Nothobranchius furzeri: one gene and its partners. The protein of the gene in region 3 purifies or fractionates together with the protein of the main gene of each other region. This does not show direct contact. Links are inferred from orthologs where the notes say so. Each region holds a gene or a part of one and is shown on either strand. Other genes may lie near its edges.

What was found.
Region 1: the proteins of seh1l (region 3) and nup133 purify together in Homo sapiens (affinity purification with mass spectrometry; 4 studies listed by BioGRID and IntAct, with this or other methods). This does not show direct contact. The link is inferred for Nothobranchius furzeri from reciprocal best matches to the Homo sapiens genes SEH1L and NUP133.
Region 2: the proteins of seh1l (region 3) and nup85 purify together in Homo sapiens (affinity purification with western blotting; 4 studies listed by BioGRID and IntAct, with this or other methods). This does not show direct contact. The link is inferred for Nothobranchius furzeri from reciprocal best matches to the Homo sapiens genes SEH1L and NUP85.

Annotation. Positions count from the first base shown.
Region 1 is NC_091747.1:67,768,756-67,775,415, forward strand, and holds part of nup133 (nuclear pore complex protein Nup133), read right to left. Parts: intron 4,653-6,660; coding exon 4,517-4,652; intron 3,672-4,516; coding exon 3,553-3,671; intron 1,906-3,552; coding exon 1,825-1,905; intron 1,747-1,824; coding exon 1,682-1,746; intron 28-1,681; coding exon 1-27. UniProt on the Homo sapiens protein: Involved in poly(A)+ RNA transport. Involved in nephrogenesis.
Region 2 is NC_091752.1:54,273,202-54,279,027, reverse strand, and holds part of nup85 (nuclear pore complex protein Nup85), read right to left. Parts: intron 3,266-5,826; coding exon 3,143-3,265; intron 3,064-3,142; coding exon 2,932-3,063; intron 2,858-2,931; coding exon 2,754-2,857; intron 2,658-2,753; coding exon 2,574-2,657; intron 2,478-2,573; coding exon 2,412-2,477; intron 2,197-2,411; coding exon 2,045-2,196; intron 1,934-2,044; coding exon 1,816-1,933; intron 1,622-1,815; coding exon 1,521-1,621; intron 1,365-1,520; coding exon 1,213-1,364; intron 47-1,212; coding exon 1-46. UniProt on the Homo sapiens protein: Essential component of the nuclear pore complex (NPC) that seems to be required for NPC assembly and maintenance. As part of the NPC Nup107-160 subcomplex plays a role in RNA export and in tethering NUP96/Nup98 and NUP153 to the nucleus.
Region 3 is NC_091745.1:49,022,591-49,029,350, forward strand, and holds the start of seh1l (nucleoporin SEH1), read right to left. Parts: upstream 3,903-6,760; 5' UTR 3,823-3,902; coding exon 3,712-3,822; intron 3,355-3,711; coding exon 3,304-3,354; intron 1,418-3,303; coding exon 1,271-1,417; intron 1,184-1,270; coding exon 972-1,183; intron 1-971. UniProt on the Homo sapiens protein: Component of the Nup107-160 subcomplex of the nuclear pore complex (NPC). The Nup107-160 subcomplex is required for the assembly of a functional NPC.

The DNA of each region.
Region 1 (6,660 bases), on a different chromosome or scaffold from region 3:
TCGTCGTTCCCATCAACAGAGGACCAGCTGAAAGGCAGGCAGAAGCAGTCAAACACATGGAAGTCAATCAGAAGTCATCCATCAGTGAGGCACTAGGAGGCATCACCCATGGCCTGGTTCCACTCATCATTAACAACAGAAGAGAGATTGTTTCAGAACTTTGCATCAGAAGTCCAGAGACTTTGGATCTTTAATGCTTTTTCATCGATTCAACAAATCGCTACAATAAACAAGTTCATGGACGTGTTGTCCACTTCCCTCCACCGTCGCTTCATTTATACTTTTATTTATACTTCATTTATACTTTATAGCTTTGGGTCATTTAAACCAGTGGACAACCTGGACCTTTTGGGGTAAATTTGCAGCCATTTTCAAAACAAACGGGGGACTCTCTCACTCTTTCTTTGAGAGCTTCATGGCTGTTGCCAGTTATGGATCAGCACCAGAACATTCTAGATGACAAGTGAAGACGAGTCACTCACAGTAAGTAGACATAAAGATAAAAAACATTGATTGTACTATCTATTTGTTGGTACCTGAAACAATAACTTCAGAAAGATTTACAGACGACTATTTGCCTCTAATTCACTGTTAGCATTGTTAGCTTAACGTTAGTCTCTAGCCTGCTTCACCCAATATTAGAGTAAAACACAAAGATGCCATGGCTTCTTAGGGGTACATGAAATCACTTCTTGGTCGCTCCTGTTTACTGGCTTTGTTTTTTTTCTAAACAACTCTAGAGCTTTTGCCTGCCGGGTCAAATTACAAGTCCCGGTGCAGCAGCGTTAGCTCGCTAGCGACTCGGCAGCCCCGCCGGCTCACAGATTGTAAAAACTGACAATCCCTCCAAGCCGGCTGAGATGGAAATCTGTTTCGATGTAACCTTCTTTCCAACACCTCTCCTCGCTCACAGGAAAAACAGACGGCCTTTGCAGCGCAGCGCATAGCCTCAGACCCCACCTATCCCCACCATGGACATGTGGTTCTGCAGCATCTGCAGCAGGATGTCCAGATTCAGACACATCACACCTTTCCCTCCACCACCTTTAGGAACCTCGGGGGACTATAGACATGCTGTTATGATGTCATCTTTAGTGCAACAGCTCATCATGCAGTAGCTTTATTTTTACTCCTCACTACTTTAGTTTTTTTATACATTTCTGGTACACCGATTTATAAAAGGGGGACCGCAGGATGTGTTCCAACTACAGGGGTATCACACTCCTGAGCCTCTCTGGTGAGGTCTATTCAGGGGTTCTGGAGAGGAGGGTCCGTTGGGCTGTCGAGCCTCAGGTTCCGGATTAGCAATGTGGTTTTCGCCCTGGTCGTGGAACACTGCACCAGCTCTATACCCTTAGGGGGGTCCTGGAGTGTGCCTGAGAGTTAGCTTCACAGCCAGACAGGACACGGGGAAAATAAATAAATAAATAAAAAGATAAAAGCAAGTCTAAGTCTAAACAAAACCTGGCCAGCAGCCAAGCTGAAACATGAACAAACGTCCCTTAAACAAAGAACATTTGACCCGGTGAGATTGTTATTAAAACAAACTCTGGGTATTTAAAAACTAAACTGCTATTTCACCAGTTTTACAGTTTAATTTCAGCCTAAAGTGGGAGGGGGTGATGAGGTGTCGGAGGTTTGTGACTACTGAACCGATAACCATACACGTGTCAGAGCTTACTCATCTCGTCTGAGTGCTTTGCCGAAGATCTCACACTTCAGAGCATCAATGTCTACAGAGTCCTCCTGCAACGCAAACAGAAAAGCCTCATGAGCTAAAGCCAGATCGATCCTCAGCAGTCCGACACATGAGCAGGAAGTCACCTTGTGGATGTACTCGAGCAGGTCCAACGCCTTTTTGAAGTCGTACTCGTTGGCCCTCCTGTTGTCATCACAGATGTAGAGCTGCAGAGAAAGACACTTTCAACACAAGCGACCGGCTCCTGTTGTACTTCAGCAGGACCGCCAGCTGGTGACTTCTTCCCAGCAACGATGCTCCAGGAAGGCACGGCTTGCAGCAGAGCTGAACGACTCTGATTTCAAACCATCACGTGATCGTCGACGCTACGGGTTTGTTGCTCGCATCCGACTGACTCAGGATCTGTAGTGTCAACTATTTTACACGTCTGGAACACACCAGCTGCGAAGTGGAGCGCTCACGAAATTTGTGTCAACGAGTGCTTCTGCTCACGCCTACTGTCTTCCGACCCCCCCACCGCACCCTTGTGCCCTTGCTGCGTGTGTGTGTGTGTGTGTGTGCGTGCGCGCGTGTGTGTTCATTTTCATCTCTCTAGTCTGTTTAGATACACAAAAATGATCACATTTATCAATTGCAGTGTTTTATTTTGAAAATTTTCTTTTATTTTGTTAAATTTACCGGCTTGCCTCTTCTGCTTTGGTTCGACTTCTTGTCAGAATTGATGCGGCTCCGAAAAAAATCAGAGCTCACACCAAAACGATCGCTGCGCGGCGCGAGCCTCCGTGGCGCTTCGCAGCGGATGTGACCGAGAGCGTAGGTCAACAAGGGCGCCGATCAGAAGCGCTCGCCGTCCCACTGCGCTTCGCGGCGCATCGTCGCACTTTCTTCTAATATGTTCTGGGCGTAAAACACCCCCAAGGCCGTAAACGCATTTCGGCCGTAGCCGCGAGTGGAGGCAGGGGTGTCGGCGTTGTGGGGGCTGACGGTGGTGCAGCTGGTCACTCTTATGGGTTTTTATGCTTTTCGTGGCGCAGCTGCGGATATCGTTTATATCTACGGTTGTCTGTCGCTCAATCTGTCCCTCGGTTTGTGAGCGTGAGACGGCGAGTCTGACTCGCCCAGGTCCCCCGACAGCAGATAGGGATTTCCAGTAATGACACCAAGTGGACTTGGAACTAGGGCTGGGCGATGCGGCCTAAAATCAATATCACGATTTATTGATCATTTCAACTCGACAACGATAAATGGACGATAACTACAGGTACGCGAGAAACAAAGGTTGTCCACTAGATGGGGCTGCCACGTGTTACATTGGGTCACATTTTTACATGACCCCAGGTCCCGCTCCTTAAAGGGACACGAACGCTGCCAACCTACACACTTTCATTGTTTTATCAAATGTATTGACGTGGGAAAATGATCACCATAAGAGTCCGAAATTTCGATTATAAAGTTTCTAATTATTTCCCAGCCCTACTAAAAACATTTACATCTGTCTGACAGCACAAACGGTTGCAGAGTCACGGTAAATCCAAGTACGTACGCAAAACGTGCTGGGGCGAGTTTTTGTGAGGAGAACCTCCAGGAGGCGCTGCTCGGTAAAAGATGCTGGGAAAACTCTGCATGCATGAACTTTTAAGCATCTAAAGTACATTTTACCTTCAGATTTCATATCAGATTAACTGCTTTTCATGTTTTGAGGGTATGATGTCATAAATCTTGCTGTGCATGTGAACAATGAGCTGAATCTGGATTAGAAAAGTAAATCTTGAATTGGAATTGCAAATTCGGCCAGAAAAAGCTATAAAGTGTTTTCGTAACACGGTTGGCCCTGGACCGTAGCTACAGCTCACCTGTATGAGGTTGTGAGCGCTGAGCAGAGGCATGGTGTCGGGGTTTAGTTGCTTCTCCTCCAGGAGCTGTCTGGGCAGAGTCTCCTGATGCAGCAGGAAGCGTTCCTGCTCCACAATGTCTGAGGGACAAGACAAATAAATGACTGCATCACATCAAAACAGAAGACAGGGTATCTGCAGGTTTAAGGGAGCCAAATTTAAGACTTTTTAAGACCTTTTTAAGGCCAGTTTGACCAAATTTAAGCCATTTTTTTTAAATTAAATTTAAGCTATAATTTCCAGGTATTGCCTGGAACCGTTGCTAACCATGTCGCAAACGTGGGATTACCCACCCAGTTACCATTAAACTTGCACTTCCCCATAGCGCAAGCCCCCACTAGCTTAACCAGCTAATGTGCTCATCTAAAAACAGCCCCCTTTTACAACCATTTGAATGTGTATGGTTCCGCTTACGCCAACATCATACACAAAAAATGCTGAACACCAACTAGAAATTCTTGTTCATTGGGTCTTTGGTAATTTAAGACCTTTGGAAACTGTATTTAAGGATTATTTGTCATTTTTAAGGATTTTTAAGGCCTTAAATTTAGAAAAGCAAATTTAAGACTTTTTAAGACTTTTAAGGACCCGCGGATACCCTGAGAAGAGCCCTCATCACGAGAAGAACAGATGACGACATTCAGATCACACAGAGTCTTAAGTTAACAGACATGATGCTGTTGATGAATGAATGGATTTTTAACCAGCGAAGACGTCAGGATAATAAGTCATGTAACAATAACAGTTCACTAAAAATCATCAGGACACGTATTTAATCCGTAACAGGTCCTTTCTGCTGCACTGCCACAGGGCATGGGGCGGTTAGAGGTCTACTGGTTTCTGTCTCATGCTTCCAGCTGTGTCAGTCCCTCTTCAACATGATCCCAACACCAGGACGTCTGCTCCGTGTAGACCGGGTTTTTACCATCCACTTGTTTGTTGAGTTCCTCCTCCGGCAGGTCAGACGCCAGCGCCGTTAGTTTACTGAGAGCCAGCAGCGTGGTCTTCTTTGCAAAGTAGCGCGTCTCCATGTTGGCCTGGCTGTACAGCGTCCTGAGAGCCTGCACAGGTGGAGGGTCACACCGTTAGTGCTGTAAACAGCCTCACAGCTGGACTGTAAACATAAATACTTCTGATTAGCAGTCGCCCGTTAAACCGTTACTTTAAAATTAAAGGTTGAATATGGAACAGCTTAAGAAAAAGCTTCATATTTTAAATAAGCAATACCTCCACAGGCCACTTACAGAATGAATAAAAGTTCATTCTAATGGAAAAATAATCAAATGTATATTTTGATGGGCACGCCACTGGGTTGATGTTTACACCTACCAGCCAGTAGAGGGCACCACTGTGGGTTTCCAAAAAGCCCGCTCTGAACAGCGAGGCTAGCCCTGTGGAAAATGGCGGACTCAGCAGAAGTGGACGTAGGAGGTGACGTATCTGTGTAAACTAAACTGTCAGAGGCAGCCCTCATTACCTCCCAGTCTGTGGTCTACATGTGCGGAGCTCATCTACAGCCTCGTTCTTCACAGTTTTGCCGACTTCACAGCAGGCTTAAAGAGTTTTAGCCTTTGTTTGTACGCAGGGATCAGATGGACGCTCACGTGGTCAGAAAGTCTGAATGCAGCTGGAGGCTCTAGTTAGCGTGCTGTAACAGTGTTCCAGGGTTGTCTCCCCTATGGTTGGGCATTTAATTTACTGTTTATATTTGGGAAGCTGCTGGCTCAGACCAGTTAAAATCTCCCAGAGCAATGATGAGGGGGTCCAGGTACGCCCGCTCCAGGGATATTGGAGCACGGGCTGAGCCTTGTGTGGGTTCGCATCTGGCAGGATGTAAACAGCAGCTAGAACGTTTAGCCTCCGGAAACGGTCTGTTTGTCCATCTACAGGTCACCTCCTCGGTTTCGGTTCATTTGGAGACGTAAGTCTTAACTGGTGCTCTAATCTGCAAGAACACACTGATGCTTCAAGGTCTCTCCAAGCTCACTCTTATCTAAGCCTGGTTTTTATTCACAGCACAAGACGGGTGAACTTTCTAAATTAAATCATATAATGAACAATAATGGTTGAAGGACAATAACAATGTTTTGATTAATCTGTGCTTAAATTACTGAGGTTGAAATGAATATTATGATGTTATGATCAGTAAAGTTAGATTTAACAGTGAGTCACTATCTACTGACAGCTCACACACGTGATGATGACAAGGTTAAGCTAATATCCTGACACAGTGCTTTCTGTTCCACCAATCAGAGCTCCTGTATCTGACACAGGGCATGTTTTCTGAGGTTTGTTGGTAAAAACCTTTTTACACGTCAAATTCTGGTTTGTTAGTAAATCAAAATACGATGATTATTAAAACAGGACTCTCTTCACCGTGAGTCAGTTCTTGAGAAAGCTTCGGACCGGCCGTCCGGAGCAAAACCTCTTTAACCCAGAGCATCTTTGGACAAGCTGTCAAAAACCCGTTGCACGCTGCAGCTGACCGCAAACGGTTCCTTCAGAATAAAGCTGAACCAACTCAAGAGTTATTCCTAAGACACAAATAACAACTGTCGTGACCAGAAGACAACTCGAGAACGGTCTAGTCGGCACTGCGGTTTCTTCTACGGACTTCGGTACCTCTGGGGTCCCCGGACCTCACCATTCTGGATCTACCATGGGGGTTTTCGATCAGGGTACGTAGACTCGACAGATTGCGTCTGATGTGTTTTGATAAGAACCAACTTTATAAGTTTAATGCAGACCAAATTCACTCCCACTCTGAACTCAAGTTTCTCCAGATACGAGGGTTCTGATAACTAGGGCTGGGCATCGTTTGATTTTGTACGATTCCGATTCCAATTTCAATTCCAATTCCTCGTTTCGATTCCCGATTCCGATTCTTTGAAGACATGACATATTTTACATGAGCCAGCTAACCACAGGTCCTACTAGATGAAATAATCTTAACTTCAACATGAATTTTAACTCTATGAACAACAACATCACCTTCATTTAGACACAAACGTGTTTTGGAGAAAAAAGAAGACGACTTGCAGCACAACCAGTGTGTTTGTTTCTGACCAC
Region 2 (5,826 bases), on a different chromosome or scaffold from region 3:
CTAAGCAGTACATCAACTCATAGGTTTGCTCTGCAGAGAAGATCACCTGAAAACAAGGAGAACAAGTTACTCCACTGAAACTCCAACTGTTCGGATTTTTTCATCCACATAATAAAAAATGACAAATAGCTCAATTTTTGATATGCTAACTCTTACAAGAAACATGTTTAGTAGTCAGTTGGTTTAAATGGTAACTAGGCAGTTTTAGCACCCCCAAGAAATCTCCTCGCTGTGCGTTCGTCTTTTTAACACCTTAATCTAACAGCTGAAATGACTCCTCAGCCTTCATTAGTGTCTACAGGAGTGAGTCGTCACCAAATCAAACATATCAGATGTGTTCCCGATCCAAAACATGCAGGAAGCAGACTGCAGCGCCAGGTGTGTCAGCTCAATTTTTTACCGGCACTCTGGGGTTGCAAGTGGGATATTCTGCCACATGGGGGGGTGGGGGGGGGGGGAGAGATGATAGGAGCTGTGTGGCCTTTAATTAACCTCAAAAAGGGTCATTTTAGCACAAACTGGCTCAAGAAAATGACTTCAAAATATGAAAAAGTTGCAAAGTGCCCCTTTAATAAAACAGGGGTAGTAATGTTCACATTAAAAATAACATACGGTAGTGTGTCACTCAAAAAAACTACATAAATTAATTAATTTTTAATGATGAATAAAAAGTTCCACAAATACCTACTTAAAGATAGATATTACTTATTCTATTTGTGCAGCATTTTTCATGCACACAAAACTCTGACCAGGAGGTCACAAATGATCTTAAACAGGATCAAAACATTCATTTAACAACATCTGAATGCTCCAGATTTGTGCATTTAACCCTCTGATGCATGAATTATGAGATCTTCAACCATGATTTTTTAAACAATTTGTTTCATTCATCTTTAGGTGTGAATTAAACAAATTTCAACAAATATTCTTTGTAACATTTTGTTAATTTACAAATACTTTATTACATGTCTATCTCAGTGGACAGCGTGCATTCTGAACATGAAATATGTTGGCTTGCCTTACTGAAGTCCAACTGGAGAGGCTCACATGCAATAAAGTCTTCAACAGCTGTGCTTAATAGCAAAAATAAATAAATAACTATTTTGAGTACCTGTCCACTGTAGTGACCATTATGCATCAAAGGGATAAACTAAAGTTCTTGATTTTGTAATAACAAATCTACTTTAAACCGATGTTCAGGTGTGGACTGACCTCTTTCTGCTCCAGCAGAGGCAGAGCATCCGTCAGCAGCGTCATCCAGAAGCTTTGGGGAGCGATTTTAGCCGTCATGAGGGAGAGTAGCAGCTTTGCAGCATCGCTGAAGCACTTCTCTCCGTACAGCTTGTGGAACTCACGGTATTTTCCTGGAGAGAATCATTTCTATCAAATCATCCTCCAGAAATTCTCACCATCACATGTTGTTGCATCAAGCGGATACTGGTTCTGTTTCTATTAGTCTTGTGTGTGTGTGTGTGTGTGTGTGTGTGTGTGTGTGTGTGTGTGTGTGTTCAGGCTCCTACCAAGGAAGGTTAGCCTGTCGCTGAGCAGCATGGTTGAGCCCAGGTTGTCGATCAGATCCAGATCAGAGAAGGTGCCTTTGGCGCAGTAATCCTGCAGGAACCTAAAACACAAACACAAAAACAACTTCAAATCATTTTCAGAGAGAAAGACATTTAGTGAACTAATAAGCCCAACAGTGATACTTATAAAAAGCTTAAGAAGCATGTAGGTAAAAGTTAAATGTGTTCCTGGAGAATGAAGATGAAGCTGTCAGTTGTGTATATTTCAGTAAGAGCACCACTAAAGGGATGTGACCTCTCTGAAATCAGGGTGGCAAACGCAGCATCTTTGGCTCGGATGCTCCAGGAGAGAGCAGAGCCCAGTCGGTTGTTCCTTACAGCCCGCATGGCCATGATCTTACAGATGCTCCGCACTGGGACCAAAACAACAAAAAACAAACCAGGTCAAGCTTTTCCAGCCTAGCTTACACCAGAGAGATTAGCTTTGTGACACAAACTGATAAAAAGGACGACCGAGCCCCTACCCTGCTCTGACATCTGCCTCTCCTCACAAATTCGGAGCACTTTGAGCGCTTTGCGCTCCGTGTCCAAAGGAACTCGCTCGATCTGCAGCTCCAGATAGACGCGGCCAAATTCTGGGCAGTGATCGAAATAATCCACGGCACACTGCCAGAGACTAAAAACACACAGAAACATCTGGTTAGTGAACGCTAAAATAACAGAGAACGACTCATATTTCAATGTTTGGATCCAGTTCGATGATTGCAGGACATTTTTTTGTCGTCGTTGATTTTCTGTGTGACTGAAACCCAAAACACAAGTGTGCCACTAGACAGTCCCTCAGGTGTAAACATGTTACTGTGTGGTTAAACGGTCACAAGGGAGCCATACCTGTGATGCGTGAACAGACCAGAGGCGTATTCTAACAGCAGGAACTCTCTCAAGTTGGATCCAAAACTACATACACACACACACACACACACAGATTAGATTAATTAACTGTGTAATTTTATCCTCTCTGGATTAAAACCAGATAAAAGAAATCATCCCTACTGGAGATTATGAGACTGGAGGAGTTTGCAGTGATCCAACAGGTCTGTTAAATGAGCCACAAACCACCAGTTGTTGAGAGCAATACTGCGGGGACAAGGGAGACGCCGACCGTTCAAGGACTCGTGAACTGACTTGTTAAGCACCTTGAATGTGATTAATATGGTAGACCCTGTCGGTTACCTGCAGTCCTTGATGACCTGATGAATGTCAAACTCAAAGGCAGCCAGCAGGATGCTGTCCAACGGCTCCGGCACGCCCGAATCCAGAAACATCATCATAGACGACTGCAGACGACACAAACACACGGGTCAGGTAAACTACATGTGCTCAGAGTCAGTGCTGCAGACTCGGGGGCTACCTGAGCGTAGTAATGCAACTCTGTGGGCTTCACTGTGGGATGGCAGTAGAGGAGTCTGGTGATGAGGAAGTAGTACCAGGTGCTGAGAAGTTCCTTGTGCTCCAACAACACGTCTTCATCCCCCAGTAGGATCTAAGGTTGCATCAACACCCTGTTTGATTCAGTTCACATCAGAAAACGTGACCAAACCACAACTCAAGCTGTCACTGACTTTGCAGATGACCTCCAGGTGTTGGTTGCTTGCAAATGAGTTATCCTTCAGGTAGCGGTCCACCTCCTCGTGCCAGTTCCTCCACTTCACATCAAACTCTGTTAGTGTCTGAGTGCCGCCAGGCTGAGAGGGGTTTTTGGAAAATGTAGGAAATAAAATCAGCAGAGTCATGTTTTAATATTTAACAATAAGCAGAAGTTTAAAATCCAAGTTCACTTGCTTTCAATACATTAGCAGTGATCACTAGTGTAGACAAATGCCTTTAGAGTCAATCACTGTGGAGAAATAGCTCCGGTGCTCCTGTTTCAGGAACAAGAAGTTAGCCAGAGGAGTAAAGAACAGAAGAATGAGGGTTTATTAAATAAGTTCATTTTGTCTTTGTTATAAAATAAAATTACTTCTTTTTTTAATAAGACAGTTTAAAGAAAACATTTTAGAAGCCTGAGGGCTTTGGAGTCTTATTTCCTGATGCTCTGACATTTCAGCAACACGACTCTATCACTGACTGTTACCGTTGCAACATTGATTTTATCCCAAATAACACAAGCCTGGAGGAGTTCTGCTGTGTTGTGGAGTTACTAATGCTAACGGTTAGCTTCTACTAGTCTCTGCCGCTTCCTGGACACTAAACCAACAACAGCCGTAATGAGCCACGATGAATGCTAAGTTACAGTGTGACAGAGATCTTTGTGGCTTTTCTGATCCAAGCGTTTCCACGTCAGTTTTCTATTGAGAGTCTTGATAAGTTTTCTCCTCAGTGAGGCCCACCACATGTGTCCTGGACCCTATTCCCACTAGTTTTTTTTAAACAATTCTGATTCTTTTAGAGATGCGGTTTTAACTATGATGAATTGCTCTCTTCAGACGGGGGTCTTTCCTGCCGCTTTTAAATGGGCGGTGGTGAGGCCCCTGCTGAAGAAGAGCAATTTAGGTTTTAATGACTTAAACAATTATCAACCGGTTTCCAACTTACCATTTTTAAGCAAAATTTTTAGAAAAGCTTGTTTTAATTCAACACCCATAATATCTTAGAAAAATTTCAGTCTGGTTTTAGGGTGAACCACAGCACCAAGATGGCCCTTCTGAAGATTTTAAATAATTTTAGAGTAAATTATGCTAAACGGAAGGTGACTGTGTTGGTTCTCCTGGATCTAAGTGCTGCCTTTGATACAGTAGTATTCCTTTAACTCTGAAACGGATCGGCCGATGGTTCACTTCCTACCTCACAGACAGGACTTTTATGGTGAGTTTGGATACCTGATCCTCTAGGGTTCACGGGATTACATGTGGTGTGCCCCAGGGTTCAATTTTAGGCCCAGTGCTTTTTAACCTTTATATGCTCCCTCTTGGCAGTGTCATCAGGACACATGGGGTGAATTTCCACAGTTACGCGGATGATACACAGCTGTACATCTTGGTGTCTCCTGATGACACACAGTCAATGGATGCACTTTTTAACTGCATTTTAGACATCAAATCCTGAATGGCAGGAAACTTTCTCCAGCTTAACCAGGACAAAACTGAAGTTTTAGTAATCGTCCTGAGGCCCAGAGAAAGAAACTTTTACCAAAACTGCAATCAATGCCTTTTAATCCATCTTCACAAGTGAAGAACCTGGGTGTCATCTTTGACTCTGAGCGGACTTTTATCCATCATACCATACCATACATTTATAAAGCACATTTAAAAACGGCATGGCAGCCGACCAAAGTGCTGTACAGAATAAAAAGTAAAAACACAATATAAAACAATACACAGTCAACAATAAAATGCACAACAAGGCAGATAATCACGGTCAATAAAAGACACATAATAAAATAATAAAAGTCAGGGATTTAAAAATGCCTGGTCATAAAAGTGAGCCTTAAGTAGCGACTTGAACCGGAGGAGGGATGGTGCCAGCCTCACTGAAAGAGGAAGAGCATTCCAGAGTGTCGGAGCAGCATAGACAAAAGCACGCTGCCCCCGCGTTTTGCATTCCATTGTTGGAACGCAAAGCAGCAGGCAATCAGCAGACCTCAACGCCCGGTTTGGCACATAACGAGTCCAGGGTATATACAGCAATCCTTAAGTAAAATTTACTACTTTTTAATACCTTTTTTACTACCTTCAGAATTTTTTTAAAACCATCACAACACTAAATTGCAAGTGTTAATCAGCGACCTATTTACACATATTTTAACATATATAACATACAAAAAGAATAGACTTAGAGACTCACTGATGTTGACAACGTATTGCGCATATTTATTTTACTTAGAAAATAAGCCAGGCACTTCTGTTCAGCGGTTCAGACAGTTGACCACGGGGCCTGAAATGATGCAGAACCACTGAATATGACGTCATCATAATGTGACCGGATATGCTAAAGTAGGGCTGCTCGATTATGGCAAAAACAATAATCACGATTATTGTGACTGAAATTGAGATCTCGATTATTTAAGACGATTTTTCAATTTATGTAGATTTTTTTTTTATTCAGTCATAAAACTGCTCAGGGCACAATCAGGGCAAAAATAAACAAAAAACAAGATGATCACTAAAAGAACTCCTGATTCCCAGTATAAAAAGACCAATATACTCATAGCTCATAGTTTATGACCCAAGGGCTATAGACCTTGGTTTAACTCATTTAAGTCTAACCAGTACAGACCCAAATACCAATATCTTGCAAATACTGACAG
Region 3 (6,760 bases):
TCAGGATGTGCTGAAGAGGAAGCAGATAGAGGAGGAAGAGCAGAGGCCCCAGCACAGAACCTTGTGGGACACCATGGGTAAGAGAGGTGGTGGAGGACCTAAACTTGGAGACGGCCACAGAAAAGGAGCGCTAAGACAGATAAGAGGAGAACCACTCCAGAGCAGATCCTGAAAGGCCTACCCAGTATCTCAGCCTCTCCAGTAGCAGGTGATGGTCAACAGTGTCAAAGGCTGCAGTCAGGTCCAGCAGGACCAGAACAGAACAGTCCCCTGCATCACTGAGTCAGAAGGTCATTAGAGACCCTAAGAAGAGCTGTTTCAGTAGAATGAGCTCTACGAAAACCTGACTGGAAGCTATCATAGATGTTATGTTCATCAAGAGCAGCTGTGAGTTGTTTAGCCACAACCTTTTCCAAGATCTTGGAGATGAACGGAAGTTTAGAGATGGGTCTGAAGCTGCTGTGGAGAGAGGGGTCAAGACCCGGTTTTTAAGAAGCGGGTGGATTACAGCATTCTTAAAGTAAGCAGGGACGTGACCAGAAACCAGAGAAGCATTAATTATAGAGAGCACGATGGGACCGATGGACAGAAAAGCACTTTTAAACAAAGATGAGGGTAAGATGTCGAGGGGGCATGCAGAGGTCTTCATAGAGTTAACTAGTTTGGTTAACTCAGGCAAAGAAACAGGTGCAAAGCTATCTAGGATGATGGGTCTGGTTGGAGTCGGGAGAGGCAGCGATAAGGCTGAAGGAGAGATGCTAGATCTGACCTTATTGACTTTGTCCACAAAGAAAGACAGAAAGTTCTCACAGTCTGTAACACCTCTTGTGTAATGACCTCTTGTCATAAAACAAGACATAAAGGAATGGCAGCAGCAACAGTGATGCTCAGGTTTAAGGAAATTCTCCAAATGACCGATTACAGAAACAAACATGTCCCCCATGTGTTAAGTGAAATAATTATCATCTAACCTGGAAGGGTTCCAGGATATACAGCTGCAGCTGAGCTTGCATGAGATCTCGTGCTGCAGAGACCACTGGCTCAGGTTCATCACGTCAGGAGCCTCGTAGATCCTCACCACTCCATCAGCAGAGCAGGTGGCCAGCATCAGACCCATGTGTTTAGGAGCAAACTTCACATCAGTTACAGATGTTCTGCTGTCCACCAGTGTTGTTCTCTTTATCTGAATCAGAGCACCAGAAACACGGGTCAGGACTCGAGACAGGCAAACCTATGAAAACATTAATGACTGAGCTGTGGCTGTACAAACCCAGTGGCTCAGGCCTCTCTGTTTGTCATTGGACTCCCCTACGATCTCCTCCCAGACAGCAGCTGTTCTGTCGAAGGAGCAGGAGGCCAGGACCTGCCCAAACTCTGGATGGGCCCAGGTTACTCTCCACACTGATCCACTGTGGGTCTGCACACACATCATTACATCATGGATAAGTCCAAAATACACAAATATACACTCACCAGTCACTTCATAGGTACATCTGCTACCTCTGGGGTCAATCTTTCGTAAACATGGCCTATCATTCCATCTGTATGCTGACGATTGCCAGATTTACTCTCCATTGTGTCAGGAGAAAGGTCACTTTATTCAGTCCTTTGTCTCCTGTGTTAATGAGGTGAAGTCTTGGCTAATGTCCAACTATCTACATCTGAATGAGGGAAAGACAGAGCTCATTGTTTTTCACCCCAACAGCAGGAATGTGGATCGTTATGCTGATCTTGGCCCTCTTTCTCCATACTCAAAACCAGTTGTTACCAGTTTGGGGGTGAAACTTGATGTAGGACTTAAATTTGATGCTCACATCAATTCTGTGATCCGGTCCAGTTTCTTTCACCTGAGACGCCTTGCTAAAATCAAGCATATGCTGTCAAGAGCCCACCTGGAGCGGGTACTGCATGCCTTTCTAATTTCTTGGCTTGACTACTGCAACTCTCTATATGCAGGGTTGTATCAGTCAACACTGCATCGCCTACAGGTTGTGCAGAACAGCGCTGCCAGGTTCCTGACTGGGACCAGGAAACGGGACCACATCAGTCCAGTTCTGGCCTCCCTGCACTGGCTTCCGATTTCCTATCGCTCACAATTCAAAATACTCGTCTTTGTTTATCATTTCTTCCAGGGTGGTGCTCCCCCCTATCTAGCCACACTCCTGAAAAGACACTCCCCATCACGCGCTCTGCGCTCCTCTGACCAAGGCCTGCTCGCTGTCCCTCGGTCTAGGTGTCGTACCCGTGGGGACCGAGCTTTCTCAGTCCTAGCACCGTTACTCTGGAACCAGTTGCCACCCTCAGTTAGGCTGTCCCCTTCTCTGCCAGTCTTTAAGAATCACCTAAAAACACACCTCCTCCGCTTGGCATTTCCAGAACATGTTTGATTTTGGCACTCTTTTATGTTGAATCCATTCCACAGTTTTCATTGGTACACTCAATCCATCCACTCAATCCAAATGTGTTTCACACATTTGTATTTTACCGGAATGTTTCATCTATCTTGTAATTTCCATTTTGTATTTTGTAATTTGTATTTTGTAATTTGAATTTCTTTTATTGTTGATTTATTCAATATAATTACTTACAACTGTACCATGTTCAGCGCTTTGGGCTTCCTGACAGGGTTGCGGAAGGCGCTTTATAAATAAAGCTTTGATTGATTGAAAGCTTTGATTGATTGACCTATTCTACAGCTTTGCACATTTCCACTCAGCCAATCGCATGACGGGCGGCACTGTCCATTTAGGCATCTAGACATGATGAAGGCTACTTGCTGAAGTTGAAACTGAGCATCAGAATGTGGAGGAAAAGACATTTCCATGGTTTGAATGTTGTATAGAATAGAAGAAGAGAAGCTGAAGAGTTTGACCATGTCCAGCCCTTTATGACCACATAGACCCATCTTCTGATGCTACTTCCAGCAGCACCATGTCACATAGCTCAGATCATCTCTAACTAGTTTCTAGAACTGGACTCTAATGGCCTCCACAGTCAACAGATCTCAGTCCAGCCCAGAACCTTTGGGATGTGGTGGAACTGGAGCTTCTCATCATGGTTGGAGCCGATGCTGTCATGTCAGGTTGGACCAGAGCCTCTGAGGACCACTTTAACTTCTTGTTGGCTCTTTGAGATGAAGGATTAAGGTGGTTCTAAAGAGGTCTAAAAGAGGTCCAACCCGGATCTATTGGCAAACTTGATAGTGCCCGTGAGTGTAGAGCAATAGTAAATCTGTTGAAACAGCAAAGATTACCCAGGAAGGGCTTTTACGGTCATGTAAACAAACGTAAGCAGGTTGTTTACCTTCCAGCTGGCTGTGCAGTGCCACTCTCCATTCTCACTTTTGTCCCAAACCTGTCAGGAAGTCACAATAAACAGCTGCTGTTACGTCATCTCCACACATTAATTTTAAACTGACAACACACGAAATGAGTTCCTATGGTTCCTACCTAAAACACAACACTCGCTGCCTTACGTGATTGAAGCTTTTACTGATACGTTCATATTCCAGTCAAACGTCTGCACACATTAGCCTGCATGCTACAATGTAAGTACAGTAACATGCAATACTTTAAATTAGTTTATAGTTTTAAAACAAATTTTGTCTAATTTAGCTAATAAGCGCATAATGTGCCAGCACACAACACGAGTGTGTTCAGTAAGAAGCTAGGAACGTGGGTGACGCTAACATGCTAGCTTGAGTCAGCTCACCTTCACACTCTGGTCGCTGGAGCATGTTGCCATTCTCCGGCCGTGAAAATCGTAAGAGACATCGTGGATCAGATCTTTATGGTCCGCAGCGATACTCCGAGCTACGAACATGGTTAGAAGAAAAACAACAGCGAGATTAGCTGCACTGCACTGGTTAGCACAAGCTCCCGCCTGTCACGTGACAGAGAGAAAGAGAGAGAGAGAGAGAGAGAGAGAGAGAGAGAGAGAGAGAGAGAGAGAGAGAGAGAGAGAGAGAGAGAGAGAGAGAGAGAGAGAGAGAGAGAGAGAGAGAGAGAGAGAGAGAGAGGTTTTTGAACAGTGAACCACATTGGGGGGGGGGGTGCTTCAATTCAAACAGGGTTGCCAAGTTTGGCGAATTTACTGCATTTTAGATACAAATGAGATGTTCATGGTACACTTAAGCATAAGTCACTCACTTCTTAGGGTTCTACAACCCCCTTCAAAGCACTTTACAATACAACCAGTTATTCACACACACACACACACACACACACACACACACACACACACACACACACACACACACACACACACACACACACACACACACACACACAAACACACACACACACACACACACACACACACACACACACACACACACACACAATGAGCCCCAGGGCAACTGTAGCTACGATGTAGCTCATCACCACCAGCACCAGCATGTTAATGTTTATGCATTGGGGAATTACACTTTGGTTTTGTTAAGAAGGGAAGGGGAGATGACCGTGTTTAACCTGTAACATAAATACAGTTATTATTGCATTTTTAGCTAAACAATAAGAGAATGAGTTCCCCTCATGAGTTGCTATGGCCACAAATGCTGTAGCATTTCATTTAATTAAAGAGCAAGTCACACTACAAGAAACTTACTACACTCCCACTTCATGTTTGAAAAATGCAACGAATGCGTTTGCCTGGCTGACCGAGAGGGCGGAGCCGTTAACAAACACACACAAACAGGTTCACAACGGCATTGTGACATCATAATGTACCAGCTGACTTCAAAGGGTACCTCTTAGCCAACAGTGATGGCAGATTTAAATTCAAATGTAGTGCAGAGTTTTTACCTGAAGGGGGCGCAACACTGACAGTTTTAGGCTGCATATTTAAATTATAAGATGCACTAAAGTGCCAAATTATTGACTACACACATCTATAGAGCTCCGGACCCCACGTGACTCTCAGTTAGTAGACGCCATATTGGCAGGGAAAAAATGGTAAACAAACACGGATCGTAAACATGAACATGAACGGGATCGGCTTGGATTTTACTTCGTCTGAGTTTACTTCACACTTTAAAACTGAAGAAATCGTTTTATATAGTCAGAAATTAAATAGACCAAACATCTCCGACCCTTAACCGTGCCCCTGGGATACTTTTTTAAAACGCCAGAAGCTGTCGGAGCGGACTTCTTACCGGATCTGGCCGGGGAACCCCTTGGGATTTCCCCGGAGGAGCTGGCTCAGGCGGCTGGGGAAAGGGAAGTCTGGACCTCTCGACGCTACTGCCCCCGCAACCCGACTCCGGATAAGCGGATGAAAATGGATGGATGGACAAATAACAGATTTACACGTAAGTAGTTTAAATAGAGTGCTGTGCTGTTTGAATGTATAAACTGAACACCAAGAGAAATCACTAGTTTGATTGTTTTCCATGAATAAAATAAATATGTCAGGCAGGAGCGTCTCAGGATCTGTCTGAGATCTGACTCGGTGAGACAAATAATAGCAATCCAAAATGCTTTTTATGTGTGATCTGACAATTGATCAACCATTGCTTAAAAATTAAATACAGCTTAGCCGGTTAACTGCTGTGATCATAAAACACGTAAACGGCAGCACGCAGAACTCACGAGGCAACGTTTTACGTGATGTTTACTTGCTGCTATGAGTAATAAGACAGAAAAAGCCACGCCAAAATAAGTTTAGGAAGCCCACTAAGAATCGTAATAAAAGCATTTAAAATAAACACCATACACAGTTGAGGAAACGTTGTTTAAGTACCTGATATGAAGCGGTCGCTGCATAAGCGAAAACCTTTACTCTCGGGGTCCCACAGCTTCATTTCAGCCCGGTCACTAGCGCGTTTTATTACAATGATCCAACGTTTGCGGTGCTCCGGATCTTGGGGAATCCTGTAGATGGCTCATTCCTTATGTCGTCCGTGTCTGTTCTGCATCCTGGGGCACAACAGGAATCTACCATATTTCCTGTCTGATTGAGTTTTCTGACAATAACAAATAGTCCAGCTGCCGGCTTCTGCATGCCAATATGGCGCCATTTCGATTTGAACTGTTGCATGCCGGGAGAAGTGATGTCAGCTCCCGGAGCTCTATAGCACCATTAGACACTCGTCTATATAGTTTATCAGTAAAATAAGTTGATTTGGGGTGACTTGCTCTTTAAAAAACGGTTTCTACTGAGTAACTATTGAATGTACTCCTTCTCCTTAATATTAATACTCCCATGAAGACAAAAAAAATGTAGGATTTTGTTTTCCAGCTTCACTGAGATAAGCAGGTTTGTGTAGCTCTAACTGATTGCCACTGTGGGGGCTCTAACATAGCTCTTCATTAAGTAAAGTTTGTAGCGCTGTAGCTAGCTGGATTTGCCCTTTGACTCCACACAACTATTGAATATAACACTTACATAAATACAGTTTTCATTGTGTTTTAGATGAATAAAAAGATTAAAAAAAACAGTTAGAGTGAGTTTCCCTGTTGCTATCATGCTATCATGCTATCAGCTATAATGAATGTCTCTGACCTGTGAACCATCAGCACCGGTTCCCCTCAAGGCTGCGTTATCTCTCATCTGCTCTTCTCGCTGTACACCAACAGCTGCACCTCCAACCATGAGTCTGTGAAGCCTATCAAGTTTGCAGACGACACCACCGTCATCTCACTCATCTCTGATGGGGATGAGTCTGCGTACGTAAGAAGGTGGAACGGCTGGAGTCCTGGTGCAGCCACAACAACCTGGTGCTAAACACCCAGAAGACAGCAGAGGTCGTTGTGGACTTTAG